2 linked regions of the Caenorhabditis elegans genome follow. The protein of the gene in region 1 interacts with the protein of each later gene in a pairwise test. Each region holds a gene or a part of one and is shown on either strand. Other genes may lie near its edges. The genes, in order: syd-2 and unc-104.

Region 1 (11,700 bases):
TAAAGAAACCATTTCCTGAAAAAAAGCATATACATATAATCTTGTATTGTATATAATTGTTTGCTCAATTTGAAAGTTTAACTGTCATTATTCAAAATTTCAGAAAAACATTAAGGATATTATTTTTTATGTAATGAAAAAATCAAAGGAATCTGTGAACACATTGACTGATCATTACAATTAATTTATATTGCAAATTTTTAACAAAAAATACCTGGCTACAGAGTTGCTGTATTTTTGCTGAATCTTGCCATGAGAACTTTCAAGTTGAAAGAACCTGGTTCGAACCAAGATAAATTTATTTTGGTGTTTTTTTTTCATTTTTTGCAACATACAAACAAAATGCCGTCTTACTGCCGGTTAGTAAATTTTTAAAGCCTCAGTACCTGAATTGCAAGTCGCAATTTCAACCTGTGCAATGGGTTTGAGATTCCAATCTCCTTCTGGATTTCTTGATCACTCAAAGCTGACATTATTGCACCGGATTTCACATTTGCTCTACACGCAGCTACATACCACGCTGGCATGCCAACCCACAGCTCCAGCCAGGCAACAACAGTTGGACCATTCCAAAGAGCAAACGGTGTTCGTGCTTTCATGGCTTCCTCTAATAGTTCATGCTTCTTCTTTTTCCTCCTGTCGTAATCAGCTTTTTGGTTTCCTTCTGTGCCCGACTGCTCGCCATCCGAATAATCTCCATTTCGTCTAAAAAATGATTGTATGTTTTCATAACTCAATAAAATAATCACTTGAATAAATCACTCGATGAATTTTTCTTTTTGTTGAAAAACCTTCCAAGCGTTTTCAATCCACTTGAGCTATTCGATCTTTTCTTCTTTCCGCCAAGAACGCCATCTGTCGAGGAAGCGACTGACGAAGCTGGACTCATTCGATCTCTTTCGTATTGCATCTGCAAAAGAAACGAACCGGTCATTAATCATCTTCTTCCTTCTTGAGATGACTCTTACCTCGTCAAATTGGTTGTACCCTCGTCGTGGCTCGTAGTCCAAATCTCTAACCATGCGGTCGTCAACAAACTGCGGATTGCCGTAAATATCATACCGTCGGTCACCGGATACATTTGCAGGAAGCTATAATTTAGAAAAATTCTTGAAGAACATTTAATACATATAAAAAATGTATTAAAAAAACAAACAAATGAAGACTTACAGTGTTATACTTATGTTGTCGCATATTATCTAATTGGGGACTTGCTCTTGGTGAACTTCTCGTAGATATTCCCTGATCATCATAGAATTCCCGACTTGATCGTTCTAACTGTTCAGCCACCCGTTCTGCGTGATGTTTCTCTTGTTGAATCAATCTTAAAATATACTTGTTAAAAACAATTAATAAAAAATTAATAAAGTTAAGAAAATACATTATAGAATCAGATTTTAAAACGATAATTAGCCCACCTTATTTCAGTATTTATTGCATCTAAGCGATCTTGTAGCATTGATGCCAACATCTGAGCATCTTGACCACCACCCATTCCACCTTGCATTCCTCCCTGCATTCCACTTGGCATTCCCATTCCACTGTTCATCATATCATCTTGCTGGTGTTGGACAGCAGTGTTAGGACGTGGAAGAGTCGATTGACCGACGTCGGCCAGTGATGGTGATGAGGAAAATGCTTGCTGGACGTTGGCAAGAACATGCGCTTGTTGAAGTCGATCCCATTCTTGCTCGTTGAGGGTTTGAACTTTGTTCGGATCGTCCTGAAATTTTTTTCAATGGTTGGTTTCTTTTTGTTGTAGCCAATAGCAATTTTAACATGGTGAAACAAAATGTCACAAAACCAAATCTCACCTGGAGTGCTGAAATCCTTCCTTTATTTGGTCTTCTCATTCCTACAGTTTGATACTGTTGAGCTGGTTGTTGTTTGTACATTTGGTATGCAGATTGCTGAGCAATCGAAGCTTGTGGTTGTTGCTGCACAATGTTTTGAGCATGTGTAAACGGAATTGCATGCATTCTGAAAAAATTACGGTTTCACCATGCATTATATTATGTTGTACCTTGACTGGAATTGCGCAGTTCTTGCATTGTACAATTGTTGCCTAAGAGCTTCAATCTCTTGCCGTAGAGATTCATTATCCCGCTGAAGACGATCTTTGATTCGTTCCGCTTGATCATAAATTTTCTTTGTTCCATCAAGCTGTTGTGTTAACCGATTTTTGTCATCGAGGGCTTGCATTCGTTCTTTGAGATGCAGTTGAAGGCGATCATTAGATTCCGATAAAAGCTGGAAAAATGTTTTGCTAACACTTTTGTGTATGATTTTAAAATGCTCACCTTGTCCACAGTGCTACTTAACCGTTGGCTGTGCTCTTCGTTCATGCGTTCTCTTTGCACAGCCCTTTCCAACTCTGCAGACAACTCTTGAATGTTTCGGTCCAACCTTTGGATGCGCTCTTCAGCAGAAACACTCTTCTGAAAAGGAAAACATTTTAAACAAACATAACAACAAAAACACACCTGTTCAGCTGCTGTAAGTGCTTCCATTCTTTGTTGTAATTCGGCTTCTACAGACGGAAGGGATTCAGCTTTTTTGAGACTTTGTGCAAGTTGCTTCTCTGCCAACTCCAATCTTTCTTGAAGTGAATGAACTTTTTCCTCATTCAACCTGACAGCCGCATCTTTATTGGCAAGCTGAAAAGAAAATGAGGTTTCTAATGCAATTGCGATGTCTTTTACTGACCTGATGCTCCAATTTGTCATTGAGGTCCCGGATACACGTTGACTCTCTTTGCGCGGTCAGGAAACGCGACTCAAACGTTGTTATCCGAGTTTCTTGATCGGTGCGTTGTGCATCAAGCTAAACATAGGAAAAATAAGTAAATACGCTTGAATTGAATGATTTTGAGGTAAAAGCAACAATATCGATACAAATTGATTATTTCACAAGTACCTCGCAAATTTGATTCTTCAAACGAACGATTGATTCCTGTGCAGCATGTTTTTCACGAGCATCTTCTGTCAATTGATCCTCGAGTTCGGCATTTCTAAAATTTAAAAATTTGGGGGAGTATTCATAGGCTTTTCAGCATGATTTTTTCCTATTTTTTTTACTGAATTGAGATAAGAAAACAATTTTTTAAATGTAATTTAATATATTTTTATAGTTAATTTTTACGCATTCTTCAAACATTTTTTTGAAAAAAAACCGAAAAATTTGACCACAAAAATTTATAGGTGTTTATATATTCACCATCAATTTTTGAAAAGTTATTACGATAGTACCTTGTTGTGATCTCAGTTGATTGTTTTAGTGAGTTGGCTAATTCTGTTTTCATTCTTTCTAAAGCCTCTTGCATTTCGATAAGTCTGTTTGCACTTTCACTGCTAATTGAACCATTGATGGGTGCATTTGACGCCTGAAAATTTTTGTTGATAAACACATTTTTGTGGGTATGTGATGTATTCTCGTTTTTCTGTTTTCTTTCTTATTTTTTTCAATGAATAATTACCATTGCTTCTTCCGCTTCTGCTGCGTAAGTGGCAATACGCGCTTTCAGCGACGAATTCTCATCTCCTTTTGTGCTCAGCTCTTCTTCAAGTGTCGCCACACGCTCCATTGCTACTCGAAGACGTTCACGAACCTGAATATTAAAACATTAGAAAATCTACAGAGTAAATACAAAAAATTACTTTTTCATCCAATGCCTTGTGATGCTCGAATAAACTCTTAAGAGCTTTTAGAACTTCAACTTCAGAAGATACGCCAGCGTGGTTTTGAGCTTGTCTCTGAAAAAGGAAGTTTTAATATTACAGCACATCAAATAGAATGGGGAACAATAATAAATCAAAAGACATACCTTCATGACCGTCATTCGGAGTGATCTTTCATGACGGGAAACTAAACATTCTAGGTGCTCTAGAAGAAGTCGAGTATTGTTCCGTTCTGCTTTGAGCTCGACAATCTCTTCATCTTTTTCTAATAACTGCTCTTTTAATAGGCATAATTCCCGCGTCATTGTTTGAAGTTCCTGCGGTAAATTTTGCGTATGAACTTCGAACTGTCTCTTCATCATATCTCGTTCTTTTTCAACTTCTTTCGTTCGGAGCCCTGCATTTTCCAGTTGCACCTTATAATTTTCCAACTGTTCTTGTAATTTGTCCCGGTCTTCCAACATGTTCATCATCAGCTGAAAAAGTTAAAGAACATTCAGTTTTAAGGTTTTACAATATACAGACCTGCTCAATGTTGTCTCGGTCCGATGGTTCATCAATGGGACCGCCGTTGTCCACTCCATCTTCCGAGATTGTCGGCATTATATCACAATTTATGTTTCCATTGCTGTAGCTCATATTTCTGAAACAGATTAAAATTGATAACTAAATTTCAGATTTTCAATCAAAAACAAAACATTAATAAATGTTTAGTTATATTTTGAAATCGTCTAGATATGCAGAAAAATATTTAGAAAAGCGCGAGAAAAAACGCAAGAAACAGAAGAAATTGGATACATCGCCTAGAAATAGAAATATCTGAACGTTGACTATACAATTTTCAAATTTAAAATAAAATACACTTACCAGAAAAAAATGTAAAGAAGTGAATCAGCTTGCCCTTGTTGAGTAATTTGTCATACCTTGCAGAAAGTGAATAACCTACAATAATTTTTATAGCAATAATTTTGTGAAGCTGAAAGACAAAATAATTAAAACGGTTGACACTAAACTAAGAAAGAACTACGAAAGAACTAAAAAGTAAGTTAGTTCCGTTGAAAGTGTTTTTATTTCTCTTTCCTCTCTCTTTCTCTCTACTTTTTTCGTTTCTTCCTCTTGTGTGTGTGTTATAAGTAATATGACTGCAACAACCAACTCGCCAAGCAAAAGAGTTGAGAAGATGGAAAAAGAGAGGGAAAGAAAAAGAGACAATAGACACAGGCCGATAAAGAGAAAGAGCTCCGAATTACACACAACGGTCAGTAGTGCTCGCCCTTCGTATTCTTCCCCCTTCTTTCTCCTTTTCGTCCTCTTCGTTGTGGCCGGACGTGGGCCCGAATCGATGCTAGGGCATTAGAGAATGGGTGCAAACGAAAGATGAGACAGGCCAGAGCCAGAGAACACAGGGTCACACATCTATCGGCCGTTTGGCTACGCGCGCGGGAGAAAACCCCCTTCCGTCCCCTCCCTGACTGCCTCCCGCTATTTCTTCGTCAATTGGTTCCTACATGAGAGTGCAAGATAGAATTGACAATTCGGAGAAGTACAGAAACAGAGAAAGGAGTAAAGGATAAAAGATAATAGAGAAATAGAGATGACAAGAGAATATTAGAGAGACAGATATGGCAAAATTCTGAACGTCCTGAAATAGTACGGTTGAACGTGAGAAAATGTTTCGAAACTGTATGAAACTTTCCAAATTGTATGGCTATAGAAAAAATTCCAGAACTTAGATAACTTATATTATATCCTATTGCAATGAATATGATAACAAAGATTTAACTCAATTTTCTTACAATAACTTTTTAGACACCGATGAACCTGAATTAAACTTGAACGAAGCTGGGCAAGTCTCTCGTTTAATATTAGGGCATCCGGAGAATTTCTAAACATTTTAAATATAAGTCAAGTTACTCTCACTAAACTCATAGTGATATATTAACCATTTGTAAATTGAATACGTTTTCTACTTCCAAGTATATGCAGCAATTATTTAGAACGAGTGCTCAAAATATATTCAATTGGGTTTTACAGGGAAGTTTATTTCAAATTTCAAAGATCGACTGACAATGAAGACTGACAAACAAGAACACTTCTTCGATTCCAACTTTTAGACTTTTAATGTTTTTTCCTAAAACTCCGTTTTTTTTTTTGGTTTTCTGTGATAGTAGCATAAAAAAGGGGAACAAAACACTGAAGCAGAAAAAAGTTTAACAACACGATTGTTGTATAAACTCGTCATTTCTGAGTCATTTTCTGAACGTAAAATAGTATAATAGTAAAGTAGTAAAACGTTATACAGATTGATAGAAATCGAAAAAAAAAGACGAGGGATCTAACAAGGCAAGAGTAAGAACAAGCGTTCAATTTGTGGAAGTGGCAATGAAAATAACAAGTGCCTTCACGTCCCCTATCCCTACGATTTTCCTATTTTGTTCCGTTTGGCGTCCCCCTCAAAACCCCAACATTCCTGAGATTTGCATAAAGTTTTCAAAGTCACCGAACATCAATGCTTTCATGGACGAACGAGTGCGAGCAAGGTCGGAACTAGTGAGAAAACCCGGAGAAAAAGAGTATGAATATTCGGAGAGAAAGTAAAAGAGGGGGACCACCTGCCTTCAACAGATGGATGAATATCCTGAGGTAGTAGTAGTTGACTGGCGACAGCCACTATGGCACGCAGCTGCATAAATTTAGAGCTTCCGATCGCAAATAATTTCACATATCTTGTTAGCAAAGTAGTTTGCTGTGAAACATGTTGCACCTTGAAAAGTAATAATCAATTGCCAATAGAATTATGTGTTAGACAAATTTTTTAAAAATTTATTTAGTAGATTCCTCGCTAATATTTTGTGAGAAATTACATAAATATGTCTTCGAGTTTGCTGTTACGATGTTTATGCAGGTGCAAAGTTCGAAGTGAAGCAGTACGATGTTTTGGGAAGTATTTTTGTGCAATGCCACTCGTTTGAATTGTTTTTAAGAAACCATTTCAATGATGCTATGCAAATCTAGCAATTAATTTTGATTTCTTAAAATAAAAATTTAAATAGGGAAGTTGCTTCTTTTTTAAACCAGTTTTTTTTAAACAATTAAGACATTTGTCGAAATTCAATGCCACTCAAAAGTTTGCAAGCATATTGGGTGAAATTCTATCATTAAAAATAAGATTCAATTTGCTGATTAAAAAAACCAGAAACTTTATTAAAATTTGGTGACGAGTTTGCTAAGTATTTTCTCTCTGCTAGCAAAGCCGAAGAAGATGTGCGCATGCATTCGTCTGTTGAATCGGTTAGCCCATACACACATACACATCGTCGTAATTACTGAAGATGACGTTGCAAAAGAAAGAAACAGAAAGAGAACCGAGCGATACGCCACTTGTTCATAGTTCTTGCAATGAGAGTGTTTATAGCTGGGTCTGTGCGTGTGAGTGTTCATAGATAACAGGAACATGTAGGTAACCGAGGTTTTCGTTTTTTTTTCGATAAATAAAGGTTTAACTATTCCGAACAACAGTTGTCTAACTATGGCTTGCGTGGAATGAAACTTATCATGTTTAGTGTCATTTGTGAGGAACTTGGCGAAATTGAAATCAGGAGTTCAGATAGTATGTACAATATCTGAAAAGTATTGAATTTTAACTGGATCGTGAAAAATACTCTATAATTCAAAGTCAGTCAAGCAAAATAGCGTCTTGTATTGAGTTTATTCAATCACATCCAAATGTTTTATATCTGTTAACAACTATATAATGTTGAACGTAAAAAAATGACTACAAAATTGTGTGTGTGTTTTTTCACAGTCTACATTTCATATTAAAGGGGGAGTAGAGCCAGTCAAACTCACTTATGGTGACACAATGACTAAAAATTTAGTTTAAAAATTATTTAAAAATTCTAAGTTTGTTATGATTTGTTGAGTAATTGGGAAAATTTCGGCTTAGCCACTTTTTTAAATGTCTTCCATCAAAAAATCTCTTTGAATTATGATCTCTATTTATGCTGCAAACACTGATATTCAAACATTGTAGGGTTGCCCATTTTTGTAGGTCAATAAAAGTTTTTTAAAAAATTGTAAAAAAATTTTTTGAATGATATTTGGTAATTTGCATCACATAAGTTGTTTTAAGCAATTTTTCCCACTGACACTACTTCATCTTCAAAATTCATACACAGTTACGAAAATGCCAATCAGCATGCCCAGAGGCGATAATTGACTGTGAGGGGATATCTTGATACAGTTCAGGTTCTTTCACATGCCCACATGATATAAACATATATAGGTTTGCACTATTGAATTTGAAGATTTATCATATCCAACATATCTTATTGCAGTCTTTAATAGTCTAGAATTCATATTCATTTTGCACTGTTGGATTTCAATCAAAATTTAGTCATTTAGTCCGTATTAGTCTTGTGCCTTCTAATATGTATTCTTGCACTAGTTAAATACCGGACCAGCTACACGTTGTTGAAAATGAGGTAAAATCGTATTTTTGGTGTGAAGTAAATTTGAACGTGGGTTGCGTTTAGTCTATAGAAACGTATATATTTCCTGAATTCTAAACAACAGAAATCAATAATATTTACAAAGCCAAGAGTCATTTGAAGTAAGTCTTTCCGCTGCCATTAGTCTTATTATGTTATATATATATATAACGAAAACATGACATTAGGTGTAATCACCGGCAAGAAAGACTGACTAAAGACTGATACGAGAAATACGGTATTAATAATTTTGCTTTGGTTGTAAAAACAAATCGGGCCCCGTACTTTTTGTTCGTTACAGTTTCCCGTTGTTTTTTTCAAGTTGTTACAGTGGCTTTGAAAAAGTTTAGAGATAAACTGAAATAAACAATCCACAGTTTATAAATGTTTCATTTTATTTGTGATGCCTTGAAGCCGTAGTCATCATCATGAATAAATATCCGGTTTTACTCCAATTGAGTGACCACAAAAAATGACAGCCGCATGATGGCTAGCTCGACACAGTCGATCGACGCTTAAAGTTCTCTCAAAAAGTGGTGACGATGGTAGTGTCCGGCGTGTTCCGCGCCGTTTACTGCATTATTCAGAAGTGCGGCAACGACGCCGACGGTAAGCGGACAGTAGAACACAGAAGCGGTGGTGGAAAATATGAGTTTTGTGGAGACACATAGACACCTTGCGCACACCGTGTCCAGATCATCTGCCGCATCCGCCCATCTTTGCGCGCGTCCCGCTCGTTTTAGTGCATTTCAATCCGAAAATTCTGGTCTTTGCTACTGGTTGCAACTTTGCTGTATTCATCAAATAGTTATTGAACTTTTTTAGTTGTCTTCAACTGCGATGAATCTATTTTATTTTTCCAAAGCAAATGACTTTTTATTTATGATTTTATTTCTACTGAGTAAGTGTTTTTTTTATTTAAATACTTTCAAAGAACAATATAAAAATATGTATACAAAACACCAGTTTAGAAGATAAAAATCACTGATTTCCTTTTATTGATTCAAAAAGCGCAATATGATTTCAAAGTGCACATCTCATCTATTCTTAAATCATCTAAAAGATGGTGTAGCGCTTTTACTCAGTTTTTGCCTGTTCGAATTTTGGAGGTTGACCAAAAACAATTTTGAGCCAATTATCCGTTCTAACTATGCGTGCATTTTGTATAAGAACATTGAACGCGTTCAACAACGCGGCAAGGTTTTGAAGCTTTTTTTAGAGAAGCTCTCTTTTTTTTTTCAAACATTGACAATTTTTCAACGTTTGGTCCGAAATTTGTCAAGTACGCATCCCAGTAAGTTGAAGATTTCATTATTATAAAAAGTGAGATATGTGTAAACAAAACGGAAACGGATCAAGGACAACAAATAGATCCACCGTTCCATACTTTTCTATCGGATTTTCATTTCCATATACAATTAGAGCGCAACATCTAACAAAAGGTGGATTTCTATTTGAACATAACCGTTACGGGGTCAAACTTATCTGGGAAACTAGCAAAAACATGAATTTGATGAAGGGAAAGTTACAGTTTACACAGTGGAAATTCGAGGCGACGAACAATCTCGACCAGTAGCAATTGTTCCATGGTCGCAGTATAAGAGGAGGCTCGGCCATTTGAAAGAAGGATCGCTCGCTTACCAAGTAAGAAAGACGGAAATCAGAAATTACTGTTCGAAAATGATTATTCAAAAGTGAATTATGTTTTAACAAAATTAACATAAGAATATAATTATTTGTATGCAAACGCTGAGTTGCTTTTGTAACTGAATATATATTTTCCTTTCAAAACACGAAATTTATCGTAGTTTTTTTTAAATAATGAGCTTGTCTTATTTTCACAGAAATACTCCGGTGGCATTTCGTTGTGGATTTGTTTTTGGAAAGCGGAAATTTAAACAATATTAAAAAGAATTTTTGATGTTCAAAAATTATACATTAAAATTTTCTTGAAAACATTGTAAGAGTTCCAGAAAAAAAAACAAATAAATATAATGCAAACACAATCAATCACACTAATTTACAGTTTCCATTTTATTGTCACAATGGATCTCAATTTTTCATTTTTTAGACGGAAACTGAACCACTTAAAACCGCGGCCACATCATCATCAAGTGCATCTAACTCATATTTCGGCAGTTACGAAAAAGAAGATCTGTCATTGAAGCAGCTGCCGAGATTTGATGAAAATGAGCCGAGGTAACTACGGAAGTACATAAAAGAAGAGCGATTTACTCTTGTCATAAACAATTTGTCACTATGAATATATGTTCTAACCGAAACTTTAGTTTGTTTTTCCAGAAGCAGATCTCATTCTGCCGGCACCAAACCGCGTTCGCAATATGGGAACGTTATTCGACCACAATTACGAGGCAAATTGCCAGCTGATCCATCCGACTTCATGAAAATTCCAAAAACCAATCAAGTGGAGTATTTGATGCAAAGAGGTTCTACATTTGTTTTTTCTTATCTCGAACCGTTCTTTAACCAACTTTTCAGAACTAGATATGCAAACGCTTGTCCCGCCTGAGCGACCACAGTCATCATCAAAGATGAGTAGTTTACCTTCGAGACACACATTGGGAGTGGAGGAGTCTCAAACATTCAACATGAAACACAAAATTGCAGTAAGTTTAACATTAACACGTTTTATTATTTCAAAGTATGTGAGAAACAAATACTCAGAACAGTTAAGAATGACACATACATAGAGAGATGAAATAAGATTTCAAAAAACATGATGCGTAATAGTCGAAGTGAGAACATAATTTTATAAAAATATACGTATTATATTTAATTTTTCAGTCGGTCGCCATCCCTAACGGAGTACCGATGACTGCTGGAAATTGGGAAACTGGACAGCCGCATTATTCGGGAGATCGTAGACTTCACGCTGCAAGCACATTTGTGGGATCACCTTCAATTCCATATGCAACCAATGTGAGAAAGTTGAGAAAAATCAAAAATTCGAATCTGTTTCAGTACAATGGTGAACTGGCATCCGCATTGCTCCAACAGAAAAACGTCGAGCCCAATATTGTTAGCTCAATTTTTTCTCAAAGCAGCCCAAATGCTATTCCAACAGTGGTTCAGGCATGTCTCATTTTTAGAAACATTTTTATTGGTTAACCATGTTAATTTGATTATCTTTTTTTTCAGACTTCTCAGCCACAGGCCACATTTGAAAAGATGCTTGCCAACGAAATGTCTGTTGAAAAACTTTCAAAACTCGCGAACAATTTATTGGGGTTTAATAATGGCGGTGGAACAGGAGAAGTAAGCTATTAAACGATTATCTGACTAAAATAACTTAATACAGTCTGGTAGTGGAACTGGCAGCCTATTTGAGACCATGACGTCAGTTCTAAGCGGAGGAAATCGTAAAGTACCAACAAGTTCTGCGGCACATGATGACCAATCCCAGTACGCTCCTGCTTCGGCAGGGAGACCACAAACATCAATGCTTACTCAATTTTTCAACAAGGGTAAAAATACACATGAGTTATATCAATAATTTTTTAGGATTCAAAAAA
Region 2 (11,700 bases), on another chromosome or scaffold:
TACTCACATGGCAATATTGTGAGTAGCACTATGTACAGACGCATTCCCTAGATAAATTTTGAGAGAAGATGTTATATAACCGTCTTACTTTCAGAGACTTATAACTTGGTTGGCGTTTGAATTAATAAAATGTGGTCAACTAAAGAGTTGTTGACAATAATACAAAGAACATTTTGTCAGTTGGTATCTTTTTGTTATCTTTAGTGACTGTGGAGATGTGAGCCCCAAAAGATGACCAAAATATTCTAGATCTGTGCTCAACTATATCTCGGTTCTCGATAGAGATGAAGAGATGATTACAACTATTAAAATGTTTATTGCTTTAAGCTAAAAAAAGGTTGTAGTTGATGACTTTTTGATATATCGTCTCTTGAAATTGATACAACCGTTTTAAGACAGGAGGTTTTATTGTTCAGAGCTCCAAGGAAAGTCTGTTTCAGTGATCGAGAGCACCGAATTTGTCAAGAAAATGCATAGAACCAACAAAATTAACATATTTCTACAATAACTGATAAATAGTTAATAATATTTGAAAAAAAAAAAATTATTTTGTCGAAAAGAAAATTCAAAGGGTCCCCCCTTATGAAAAATTTTAATTTTTTTTTCGAAATTTTTTTTGAAAACTGTTCAAAATTTGATTGCATCTTATAAAGAAATGCAAATTGTGGTTTTTTTAGTTTAGATGTTCAGAGTACGACTTCAGATGAGAATCTGAGGTATAGTAGAATTCCTATGTTCAAAAAACGTATTCACTTCGGAAGCCTATATCTCTGTGGAAAAAATTTTTATGACTAAGTGATTTACTACAAAGTTGTTCATTTCAATTTAGAGAACAATTTTATAATTGACCGTTTGTTGCCAGAAAATTTTTTGGCTGAGATATGAACGGAAAGAGAAGAAGAAAATACAAGCATGAAGGTGCCCAACTTTACACAACTTTATCTCGACCAACAATTTTTTTGACAAAAACCGGTCAACAACAAAGTTGTTCTCTAAATTAGGATAAACAACTTTGTAGTTAATCACTTGATCATGAAAATTTTTTCCGCGTAGATATAAGCATCCGAAGTGAATACGTTTTTTGAGCATAGTAGTTCTATTATACCTCAATTTTGGATCTCAAACTTGTTTTTGAACATTCAAATGGAAGAAACATCACATTTTGACAGTTCTAAAACATCTGGTCAGTTTTTAGAAAGTTTTCGACAAAATTTTTTTTCGATATTTTGAAAAAAAAAATCCGAAGGGTCCCATCTTACAAATTTTTTTTCGAAATTTATCCAAAAAAAAAATTTTCGGAAACTTTCTAAAAACTGACAAGTTGTTGTAGAATTGCTAAAATTTGATGTTTCTTCTATTTGAATGGTCTAAACGAGTTTGAGATCCAAAATTAAGGTATATGTACCCCTATGCTCAAAAAACGTATTCATTTCGGAAGCTTATATCTCCGTTGAAAAAGTTTTTATGACAAAGTGATTAACTACAAATTTGTTTATCTTGATCTAAAATACAATTTTGTAGTCAAATGTTCTCCCTCAAAAAAATTGGTGATTAAGATAAAGTTGTGTTGAGTGATGCGAGTTTATGCTGGTATTTTCTTCTTCTTTTTCTGTTTATATCTCGACCATCAATTTTTTTGAAGGAAAACAATCAACTACAAAATTGTACTTTAGATCAAGATAAACAACTTTGTAGTTGATCACTCAGTCATGAAAATTTTTTTTACAGAGATATAGGCTTCCGAAGTGAATACGTTTTTTGAGCATAGGAATTCTACTATACCTCAGATTCTCATCTGAAGTCGTACTCTGAACATCTAAACTGAAAAAAAAAACCACAAAATTTGCATTTCTTTATAAGATGCAATCAAATTTTGAACAGTTAAAAAAAAATTTCGAAAAAAAATTTAAAATTTTTCATAAGGGGGGACCCTTTGAATTTTCTTTTCGAAAAAATCAAAAAAAATTTTTTTTCAAATATTATCAAATATTTATCAGTTATTGTAAAAATATGTTAACTGTTGGTTCTATGCATTTTCTTGACAAATTCGGTGCTCTCGATCACTGAAACCGACTTTCCTTGGAGCTCTGAACAATAAAACCTCCTGTCTTAAAACGGTTGTATCATTTTCTAGAAACGAGATATCAAAAAGTCATCAACTACAACCTTTTTTAGCTTAAAACAATAAACATTTTGATAGTTGTAATCATCTCTTCATCTCTATCGAGAACCGAGATATAGCTGAGCACAGATCTAGAATATTTTGGTCATCTTTTGGGGCTCACATCTCCACAGTCACTAAAGATAACAAAAAGATACCAACTAACAAAATGTTCTTTGCATTATTGTCAACAACTCTTTAGTTGACCACATTTTATTAATTCAAACGCCAACCAAGTTATAAGTCTCTGAAAATAAGATTGTTAAATGCTCAATCAACTCTAATTTAGATGTTTGTTCGACTGAAAATGTAATATGAATGTTCAGACTTGTGGAAACTAACAAATTTCTATTTTTTCTATAAATATAAACACTTTTTGAAAAATTTTCTATAAAAAAATTTTAGGTGAAAAATTTTTTCAACCATAAGGGGGACCCTTATGATTCGAATTTCAAAATTGGAAATTCTACCGAAAAAACGTCTTTTTTTGAAAATATTTTCAAAAACTTCTTTGATATCGTGGGAATAACTAAAATGTATTGTTTCTGTATATTTTTATGAGCAAGTTGCACTTATTTTAGAGTATAGAACTAGCTTTTAGCATCGACTCTGCGATTTACAAGCGAAAGAGGCAACGATACTCCGATATTACGGGGTGCGCGTTGTTTACAGTTTCATTTTTATTGAACAATTTTTCCGTTTTCTCATCTTTTTCAACGTTTTAAAGCCATTTCGCTCGTATTTTATGCAATTTTCATAACAGAAAATGTCGATAATTTTTGATTTTCTCATATTTTCGATGAAATTCGTACTATTCGGCAATTATTTCGCAATTATCGTAGTTTTTGTTATGAGAATTGGATGTTCTTTCTTTTTCTCACTTTTTCTATTGTTTTTTGCAAGGAGAGACGGGATATTATAATTTCTGTTCTTTGAATTCTTATAAACTATGAAATAATGCAAAATTTAAAGATTGCCGAACAGCCACCGACCGTCGTGTCACGCAGCGCGGAGACGATGGATGAACGCGGGGATATTGAAAATTCGCTTCAGTTTCCAAGGATTTCTTGAAAGAGGTAATATTTTAGCTTATTTTAGCTTCAAATGTTTCTTTTATTTTTGCAAAATTGGTTTTTGCTATCATTCATGGCAAAACCGCAAATTGACTTAACTCTACCTTTAACTTTTCAGTTCATATTGTATTTTTCGCAAACAAAACACAATTTTATACAAAAATGTATTTAATTTCAGATTAGCCAATCGGAAACGCCACGGAAAAGCATCTACAGAGCAACCAAGTGCAGCAGAGACAGCGGAACGAGGGAAAATCCCGAAAAATTCTAATTTTTTTTTGCATTTTTGGAAATTTTTCTTAAATAAATATTATTTAAATAAACTACTGTTGTCATATTATAAGAAAAGAAAGTGAAAACTACAAGCGGGTGGAACGAATCCTGGAAGGATTCCATCTCACAGACATGTCAATAATAGGCGAACGATGGGCCGCTAACAAGCGAAATACAGGCGAGGGATAGGCCGCGTACACGCGTGTTTTTGGTTCTACATTCGCTTGCACGCGGCCTGCATGCAAGTCATCGCTCGCTTGTCGCGGGTTACCTGTGTATACCCCCGGTCATTAAACTTGGTTTAGTTTGCCATGATACTTCCGTTGATTTTCTCTAATGTTCTCCGTCTCTCACTCTCTCACCTCGCTTTATTTCCTTCGTCCATCAGATTGCAAATGTCGTGGTAAGAACAAACTGCCATTTTGGTAAGGTCATCGACGTAAGGTCCAAGTAAAGGATGTTCACGAACCCTTAGGTTACCTCCAGAGTTAGGATTCAGAAGATCTTTTACTCGTTCACAATAAATTTCCATATACGATACCTGTAATAATATTGTTAGTTTCCATGAATTAATGTATCAAAAATAATTACCTCTACAGAATATTGAACATCTTTATCATTGTTATTATCAATTCGTGCAAATAAATCATTGCACAAACGTGGAATTATACCCATTTCATCTGGATCATTGGCTTTTCCCATCATTGTATATGATTTTCCTGATCCTGTTTGACCGTATGCAAAAATGCAGACATTATACCTAGAAGTCAATTATTTAAACTATTAATCTATGTACATCAAACGAACCCTTCAAATGCGTGTTCCAACATTTCAACTCCGAGCTCTTCATATACTTGTTTTTGGGTGATAAAATGTGGGTCATTCCTCGCAAACGACCAATATGAATGATCAAAATTGAAACTGAAGTTCTCCTTGTTAATTGAATGACCATTTATTGCTGAAAATTGGAATATTTTAATTTGAAACAGTTCATACAGTATGCTACTACAGTATCATGTATTGTTATCAGGGAGCTTTGAATTGAGCATATTTTACAACCATTCTTTAAAATTAAAATTTAAAAATAAAACATTTAAAGACTGTGTATAAAAATATATCTTGGAGATCACTACTCTCCAACGCAAATATGAACACCTATCTATGCTTCAAAAACTCTGTGTTAGAAACACGGAACGAAACATGTGGTGGTATTGCTCAATGGTAGATCCCAATATTGAATCCCATACCTCCAGAATATCTTTTAATTCCTCTTATTCATTTCAAGACCCCGTCTGTTCTTTTTTATGCATTGCTTCTCTCTCATCTTTTCAATTATTCCCAAAGACTCTTGGACGTCACCAACGTTTTTCGCATCATTTTGGGACGGCAGCCTATCCTTTTTTCTCGGAAAATATTTCGTAGAAAGGGGTTAACTCAGTCTCAAATGTCACCCGCCATTTCTAAATCCCTTGGGGCACTTACTCGTCGTATTTCCATTTACTTGAAGGACACATTTTGAAGTGTTCGAGATTTCCCGTTGGTTGAATGGGCGAACACGTACAGCTACTTTAACCGATGACATCTGAAATTGTTTTAATTAATTCAAGAATTCGTTCGTAGAAATTGGAATTCACATGTTATTTTGAACTTGTTTATTGAGATTTATTTAAACAATTGAAGTAAGATCGATATATGCTAATAAGGAAAGAAGGAAAAAAGAAATTGACGAAATAAAACAGATTAATGGTTGATTCGATTAGAAAATGTTGGCTCAGGCAGGGAAAAGAAGCAAATGCCAAATGACGTGAATTGTGATCTATTTTCATTGAATTTCAATTTTAAGCATTAAGATTTGAACATTTTGAAATTTTGAAACAAATTGAAAAGGGGTTTTAAAAGTTTTTTAAAACTACAAGTTTACTGATGTCAAAAATTTTACCAACTCTTGAAGAAAAATCTTGAAAAGTTAAAGCTCATTGCGATCTTTCCAAAACCTTAGTAACATTTCAGAACATGAATTAATTTTTTTGAAACCATATTTTTAGGATTAAAATGCAGTCCTACAAACTTACAGAATCTTTTAAGTGTTCTATTGTGGTATTTTTGAATTTTAGCCCATTTTTGGGTACTTTGAGTTAAAAAGGGAATTTTTAACGTAAAATCTGAATTTTTCGAATACCGCCTTTCAAGTCAAGATAATAACTCCGTTCAGCCATGTCATTTTTCTATATCGTTTTTTTTCACACATCAACATCTATAACAAGACATTTGTTTCCCTTTCCTCTTGTTTTTCTATTTTTTCTTCTTCTATTTTGCAATTTTGGCTCACCTCTTGAGTCCTTCTTCTCAGCTCGAGTCAATCATCCAATGGCGTTGAGCCCCACTTATCGTCTCCTCGATGCTTTTCCTCTTCTTCTCCAGTTTTCTATTGAATGTGTATTCGAAAAAAAAAATGAAGAAGAGTGCTGAAAAAAAGGCAGCAATGAATCTTCGAATAGATGGTCGATTGGGAAAGAAAAAGTTCGGAATGGAAGAGAAAAGAGAAAAAGATAGAGATGGAGGAGGACGGAGCCTCGAGGCGAATTTAATTAGATGAGGAAAAAAAAGGGGTTGGGCTGAAATTAGAGAAGCCGAGAAGAAGCAACAGATGACGATGATAAACATGGAAAAAAGAGAAACAAGGAGAAAAAGAACATTCGAAAAAAGAAGAAGGCAGGATACAGAAAAATGATTGAATTTGGTTGGTTTTTGTGAGTCACAGTGTAGAAATTATAGAATCTGATTTTGGAAGCAAAACTGATTTTGGCACAATGTTCCCTAAGGTCAGCGAAAGGAGACATAAAGTTCCAATGGCTACTGTAATCAATGAGTATTTAATGAAAACTATTGATTTTCAAATTTAAAGGTTCAAAAACGAAAGGTTAAAACTATTGTCATATGTTAAAAAAAACCGATCTGTAAAGAATCAGATGGTAAAACATAACCTTTAAAAATGTAAACAATTTCAAAAGTTTAGCTAACACGGGAAAATCTCTTACAGATTTTCCTGGCCTATGGTGATTTTTCTATCCACGCTATTGTTTTTTCTCATTTTAATTTTATATGCTCACTAATTTGAAGTTGATATCACTTATAGAACAAGTTGCTCAAGACAAATTGTAAAATTTTATTTAAAATAAAAAATGAAAAAGGTTCTTACGGTAACATGCTCGCAACTTAAAATAAAAGTTAACACCAACAAAATGAATTTAATTAATATTATCTAGTTCAAAATATGCTTCAATCTTTCGGAGCCTATTTCAAAATGTATACTTGGTCCTTTAGTAAATGGTAATTCAAGATGCTTCAACAATTTTCAACCAAACATTTTTTCACGAAGATCCCCAGCAGTTTTTGAGAGCTCTTGGCTCTTTTAGGGATGAGCACATAATGAAAAAAAGGCGAGGGTTCCAGGCGAATAGTCTCTCGGAATGACGTTTTGAAGACGGGAACTGGAAGTTTTATCGTCACGCAATGTGTTTTTGTTGTTCAATTTGAAGCTGAAAAAGGGGCCGGAATGAACGGAGAAGGCGATTGGATGGGAATAAAAGAAGAATGTTGTGCTAAATGAAGAAATGACGTGAAATGGAAAGAAATCAATTAAATAAAGAAATGTTAATTATTTAGAAGAAGAGATGAAACTAGTAGGAGAAAGGGTAAGGAAAACTTTTAGGATATATATTGAACCATAAAACGTCAATGGAAAATGAAAGCACGGAGGGATAGAATACGAAAATATTCAATTGAAAGAAAAAGGTAGAAATTCTCATCTAGTTCGCTTGTACTTAAACAGTTTTGTCAAATTTTAATCCAATTATCAGGTGATTGTTGCCAAAAACATCTAGTGGAAATTCTGATCACTTTTTAAGAAAAGTACAAAATCAAATTTATTTTTGTATTAGAAAATGTATTAGATATTTATAAATTCAATACAGCTTTGTTTTATCTACTTACATTATACAATTGTTTTTTCAATCTCAAAAATTCAGCCCTCAATCTATTTCCATCACATATCAATTTCCTCCCTTTTAATCTCGACAATGATTCGGTTCTGAAACTCGATATTCTACGTTTGCATATATATACGTCGTTGCATGTTTTGGTGTCATAATTCAAAAAAAGTCCAAGCCAAAATTTGGGAAGAAAAGGAAAACCGGAAGGGATTTTTGACCATCATCATCTGATGATCATGAGTTGTTGGTTTTTGAACAGACAAAAAAAAGAAACACGTCATTTGAATAAAGGCGTATCTGGAGAAAAAAGAATGAGAAAAAAAGTAGAAGAAAGAAGAGCAAGTCTATGTTGTGTGGGGCTATTTTCAGGCAGGGAGGAAGCACAACGTCTAATGGGTGAACGAGACGCAGAGATGAAACGGCAGAAGCTCTGTGGACGACGCGGGCTCCACAAATGGATCGATTGGAGGCACGACGTCTGGGGAACAAGTCTCCGGGGATGAAATAGTGGACGAGGTGAAGAGATTGAAGACGAGTTGAGAGAGAAAAGAAGAAAATGAGAATGGATTTGGTGGAGAATTCCCGAGTAGGTGCTGAATAGAAGGTGCTTAAGCGTAGAATACACAGAAATTGAGCATTTCTTGCAAGGCATAAAGTACTTTTCAGTGTTATTTTTGTAAATAGATTGAGATCAAAATAACAGCACTGCAGCTTTATGAAATCATATATCTAATTGTAAAAATTAATTATAGAAGTGTGTTTTCATATTCTTTGTGGTTTAGTTTTCTTCTAATCATGATTTTAAATGCCAATTTATTTAGAAGTCTAATTTTATAGGAATCACAGATTTCGCAAACGGGAAATTTTTCAGTCATCATACAGTATTTTCAGGCGAACGGCAAATCGTCAAGTTTTCGGCAAACATTGCATTATTTTTTGGAAATGTATCAGATTAAATACCCTTACTAATTCACTATTACAAATGGGTCGTGAAAAAATTATTTTTAAATGTTCATGGAAATTATTGTTTCTCGAATTTTCGGCATTTTCCTGTAACGTTGGCATCCGTTTTTTGAATTTTTCTAAAGTTGTGAAAAACTCAAAATACGCGCTTGTGGTTTTCATGAAAATTTAAAACTTTGCTTATCTCGCGCAGACTTCTTTCAGAAAAATGGTTCTAATTTCCGTTGAAAAGCACTCTTTGCTCCCATTCTTTCGGTTATTGGATGCCTGGCACTCGAAAATGATGAATTTGGCAACGATTTGTCTTTCTGAAGACGTTAAGAGGAAACGATGGGAGATGAAGCTCTCACAGATAGAAAAATGTCAAAAGGGGAAATGAAGTGGTTGAACAGAATAGAAATGGACATAGAGAACTTGATGAGCAACTAAATTGCACCAACGGACATCTGGTTGCATATTTACAACTATGGGGAGACACGAGAATGCTCTATAATATGTCTAAAAATTATGATCGAATGCCGATCGAAAGTTTCTTTTTTCATGAACTTGCTAAAGTCGGTTATGATTAAAGATCACTAAGCGATAAGTTAAAATTTAAGTTTAAAAATCACAAATGTCATCAACTCCCATCGAAATTTCTTCTAAAACCTTATTCTCCGCTAGTCTACTCTTTCATCTTCACTCATCGTTAGAATCCTCATGAATTGCCAATAAAAGTGTCAATTCTTGCATCCATTTTCTCACTTCATTTGCTTTCTTTTTCTTTTTCATTTTGGCTCATTTCACAGCTCATTTATTTTCACTATTCTATTATACAGTGACTCTTGAGATGGTGCTATATACATATTTAGCAGCTTTTAGGAAAACTCATAAAAAGCAGCAAGAGTTTTTATTTTTAAGGGGAAAGGGGGAATCAATTGAGTGGGAAGTAGTTGACTAGAAGTGGAATAGAAAGAGATAAACACGTTTTTCTTCAGTTTATGGCTCAATTTTGTTGTAACGAATAAATGTGTGCTCCTGCATTCCATGTGTTAATGTCTCCATGTTCAGACGGGCTTGAAGTGTTGATCGATCCAGAAGAGTCCATTCTCGGACGAGCTGAATATTTTAAATTTTGAGTTTGATTGAATTATGTGAAATTAGAGCGTTTTTGAATTTTGTTGTTGGTTTTCATTGTTATGACTACACACAAAAACACTATTCTAAAAACTTACATCATGAACAGGCAAATCTCTGCTGAAACTAATTCTTCCGATATCCTTAAGCCGGAATCTAATTTGATTTCCATTGACTGGACCTTCTTCGACTGTCACAAAACCATTATTCATTACAGTTGTCAGTGCGACTTCTTTTGTGTTTGGTTTCACAGAAATATATCCATATTCACTGTGCAACTCATCTTTATCATTTATCGACCAGGCAAATGCTCTGAAAATTCGGAGCATTTTGAAGATAGTATTGAGATTTCTATTGTCACCAATTCCCTTTTACAAGTACACTTTTCCGAAAAAAATAGAAGAGCCACCAGAATTGACAGAATCAAAAATAAAATCCCAAGACAAAACACTCAACAGTTCGAAACAAAAAAATAGGTTTTTTTGGAAAATAAATAAAAACAAAAAATGACATATGAAAACCTGTTTGGATTCTTCTCATCTCTTTTTTCTACACTCCATGCGAACGCTCTAAATTTAAATATTTTCTGAATCTGAAACATCTAAACGGCAATATTTCCAATAAACCTTTCACGTGAACGTTAACATGCCTACCTGCCTCGTACAACCACCAAATAATAGGCGGCATGCAGGCATGGCATAATTTCAGTTATTTTCTTACGTGTAGTTAAGAGCTTGAGCCGATTGCATTGCATCGCCTGGAATTGAAATTTCGATTTCTTCTCCAAATGTGAATTTCGGAATTGTTGGGAAGATTGCCTAGATTTATTAAATTTAAGAATCTGGACAGTTTCAAAAACGAACTTTTCCTCCATGTTCAGATCTCCATTTCCCTACTAGGAAACCAATTGGTGTGAGTTCCTGAGAAAGACGACGTAAATCGTATTCTGAAATAATAGTATGTTTTTAGAAGTTTTAGAACCACAAGAAATTGCAAATTTAAAAATATAATAGTTTAAATGTTTATTACTATTTTGAAGTCTAATATTATGTTAAATACTACCCTTTCAAATATTTTTCCAGATTGTTTGCTCAATTTTATTGAATTTCTAATGTGAAAATTCTTCCGTCATTTCTTGAAAATTTTTTATGTAGAATTCCACTTTTTTAAAACTATCATTAGTGTTTTAATAAAGTGTAATAGCTGAAGTTTTTAATTTTTAAATAAAGAAACAACCTACTGGGATCAACCTCTCCACATTGTCCACAACTCTTGAGACAACTTCTTTTAATATATTCAGTTGAATCACATGCATTTGGATTGACAGTAATCCAATCTCTACAATTATTATCAAAGTCCCGGCATGTGTCGGCTGCTGAAAAAAAGATATACGTGAAAAGGGTATTGTTATGTTTAGTGTAAACTGAATATGGGTCTGGGAACCTGTTTTTATGGCATTTTATTGTGTTTTGATTGAACGAAACAAACCTATTGAAAATGATAATAAACTGAAAAGTGTGAACAATAGAAATGACGTCTGATGTATTGACATTTCTCTGAAAAGTCTGAAAATGATTTTATGAAAAGAAATGGAAAAAGTAAACGAAAGGGTAATTGGTAGAATGACGGGAAAAAGTAAAGAAGGAACTACTAGAAATGGTTGATATGATAGATAACTAGTGAAAGGGATAGATTTTTAATCAAGGTTGGCAGAAAAAATCGAATGTAAAAGGAGGGAGAAGGTGAGTGAGTGAATGAGAAACAAGAAGAATACAAAGAGGAAAAGCCTTCTTTTTTCTCTTTTTTATCACTTATCACCTCAACATCGTCAATCAACGAGCGTCGTGCCGAGAACCGAAAACGATCTTTTCCAGTGCTAATTGAACATTGTTTTCTCTGCGTTTCTTTCTTTTTTTTCCATTTTAAATTAAACTTGTTCGAGTTAGGGTGCAGACCGGTGAAAATTGTGAGATGAACGATAAGTAATTGGATATTCAAAATATTTTGAACATTGGTGATTTGATTAATGGAACAATAAAAACAATTAATATTTCTGGAATACAAAAATGTAAAACATTTCCGTTCCAAATGAAATAGTTTTTCATGAAACTATTCTCACGAG

The links.
Region 2: the proteins of syd-2 (region 1) and unc-104 interact in binary tests that used the Caenorhabditis elegans proteins (3 or more experiments, as listed by UniProt).

The regions. Positions count from the first base shown.
Region 1 is NC_003284.9:10,550,621-10,562,320, forward strand, and holds the start of syd-2 (Liprin-alpha), read right to left. Parts: upstream 4,620-11,700; 5' UTR 4,545-4,619; intron 4,321-4,544; 5' UTR 4,317-4,320; coding exon 4,203-4,316; intron 4,154-4,202; coding exon 3,824-4,153; intron 3,753-3,823; coding exon 3,657-3,752; intron 3,608-3,656; coding exon 3,476-3,607; intron 3,383-3,475; coding exon 3,249-3,382; intron 3,011-3,248; coding exon 2,917-3,010; intron 2,824-2,916; coding exon 2,707-2,823; intron 2,658-2,706; coding exon 2,484-2,657; intron 2,439-2,483; coding exon 2,301-2,438; intron 2,251-2,300; coding exon 2,024-2,250; intron 1,981-2,023; coding exon 1,815-1,980; intron 1,724-1,814; coding exon 1,419-1,723; intron 1,325-1,418; coding exon 1,171-1,324; intron 1,092-1,170; coding exon 969-1,091; intron 911-968; coding exon 750-910; intron 706-749; coding exon 387-705; intron 16-386; coding exon 1-15. Other genes in the region: F59F5.7 (DM13 domain-containing protein), read left to right, coding at 9,008-9,068, 9,699-9,811, 10,239-10,366, 10,469-10,614, 10,667-10,794, 10,973-11,107, 11,150-11,260, 11,327-11,443 and 1 more. UniProt on the Caenorhabditis elegans protein: May play a role in regulating the structure of the neuronal region, called the active zone, from which synaptic vesicles send neurotransmitter signals across the synapse. This may be in association with the liprin-beta protein hlb-1.
Region 2 is NC_003280.10:6,989,323-7,001,022, reverse strand, and holds the start of unc-104 (Kinesin-like protein unc-104), read right to left. Parts: upstream 6,037-11,700; 5' UTR 5,837-6,036; intron 5,090-5,836; coding exon 4,990-5,089; intron 4,466-4,989; coding exon 4,315-4,465; intron 4,268-4,314; coding exon 4,099-4,267; intron 4,049-4,098; coding exon 3,870-4,048; intron 3,577-3,869; coding exon of another isoform or gene 3,413-3,576; intron 3,238-3,412; coding exon of another isoform or gene 3,132-3,237; intron 1-3,131. Other genes in the region: C15F1.1 (ShKT domain-containing protein), read right to left, coding at 9,441-9,560, 9,677-9,890, 10,100-10,147, 10,299-10,396, 10,442-10,524, 10,819-10,953, 11,067-11,130. UniProt on the Caenorhabditis elegans protein: Motor protein involved in microtubule-associated anterograde transport. Regulates the transport of synaptic vesicle precursors in the axon of DA motor neurons. Regulates the polarized sorting of axonal proteins.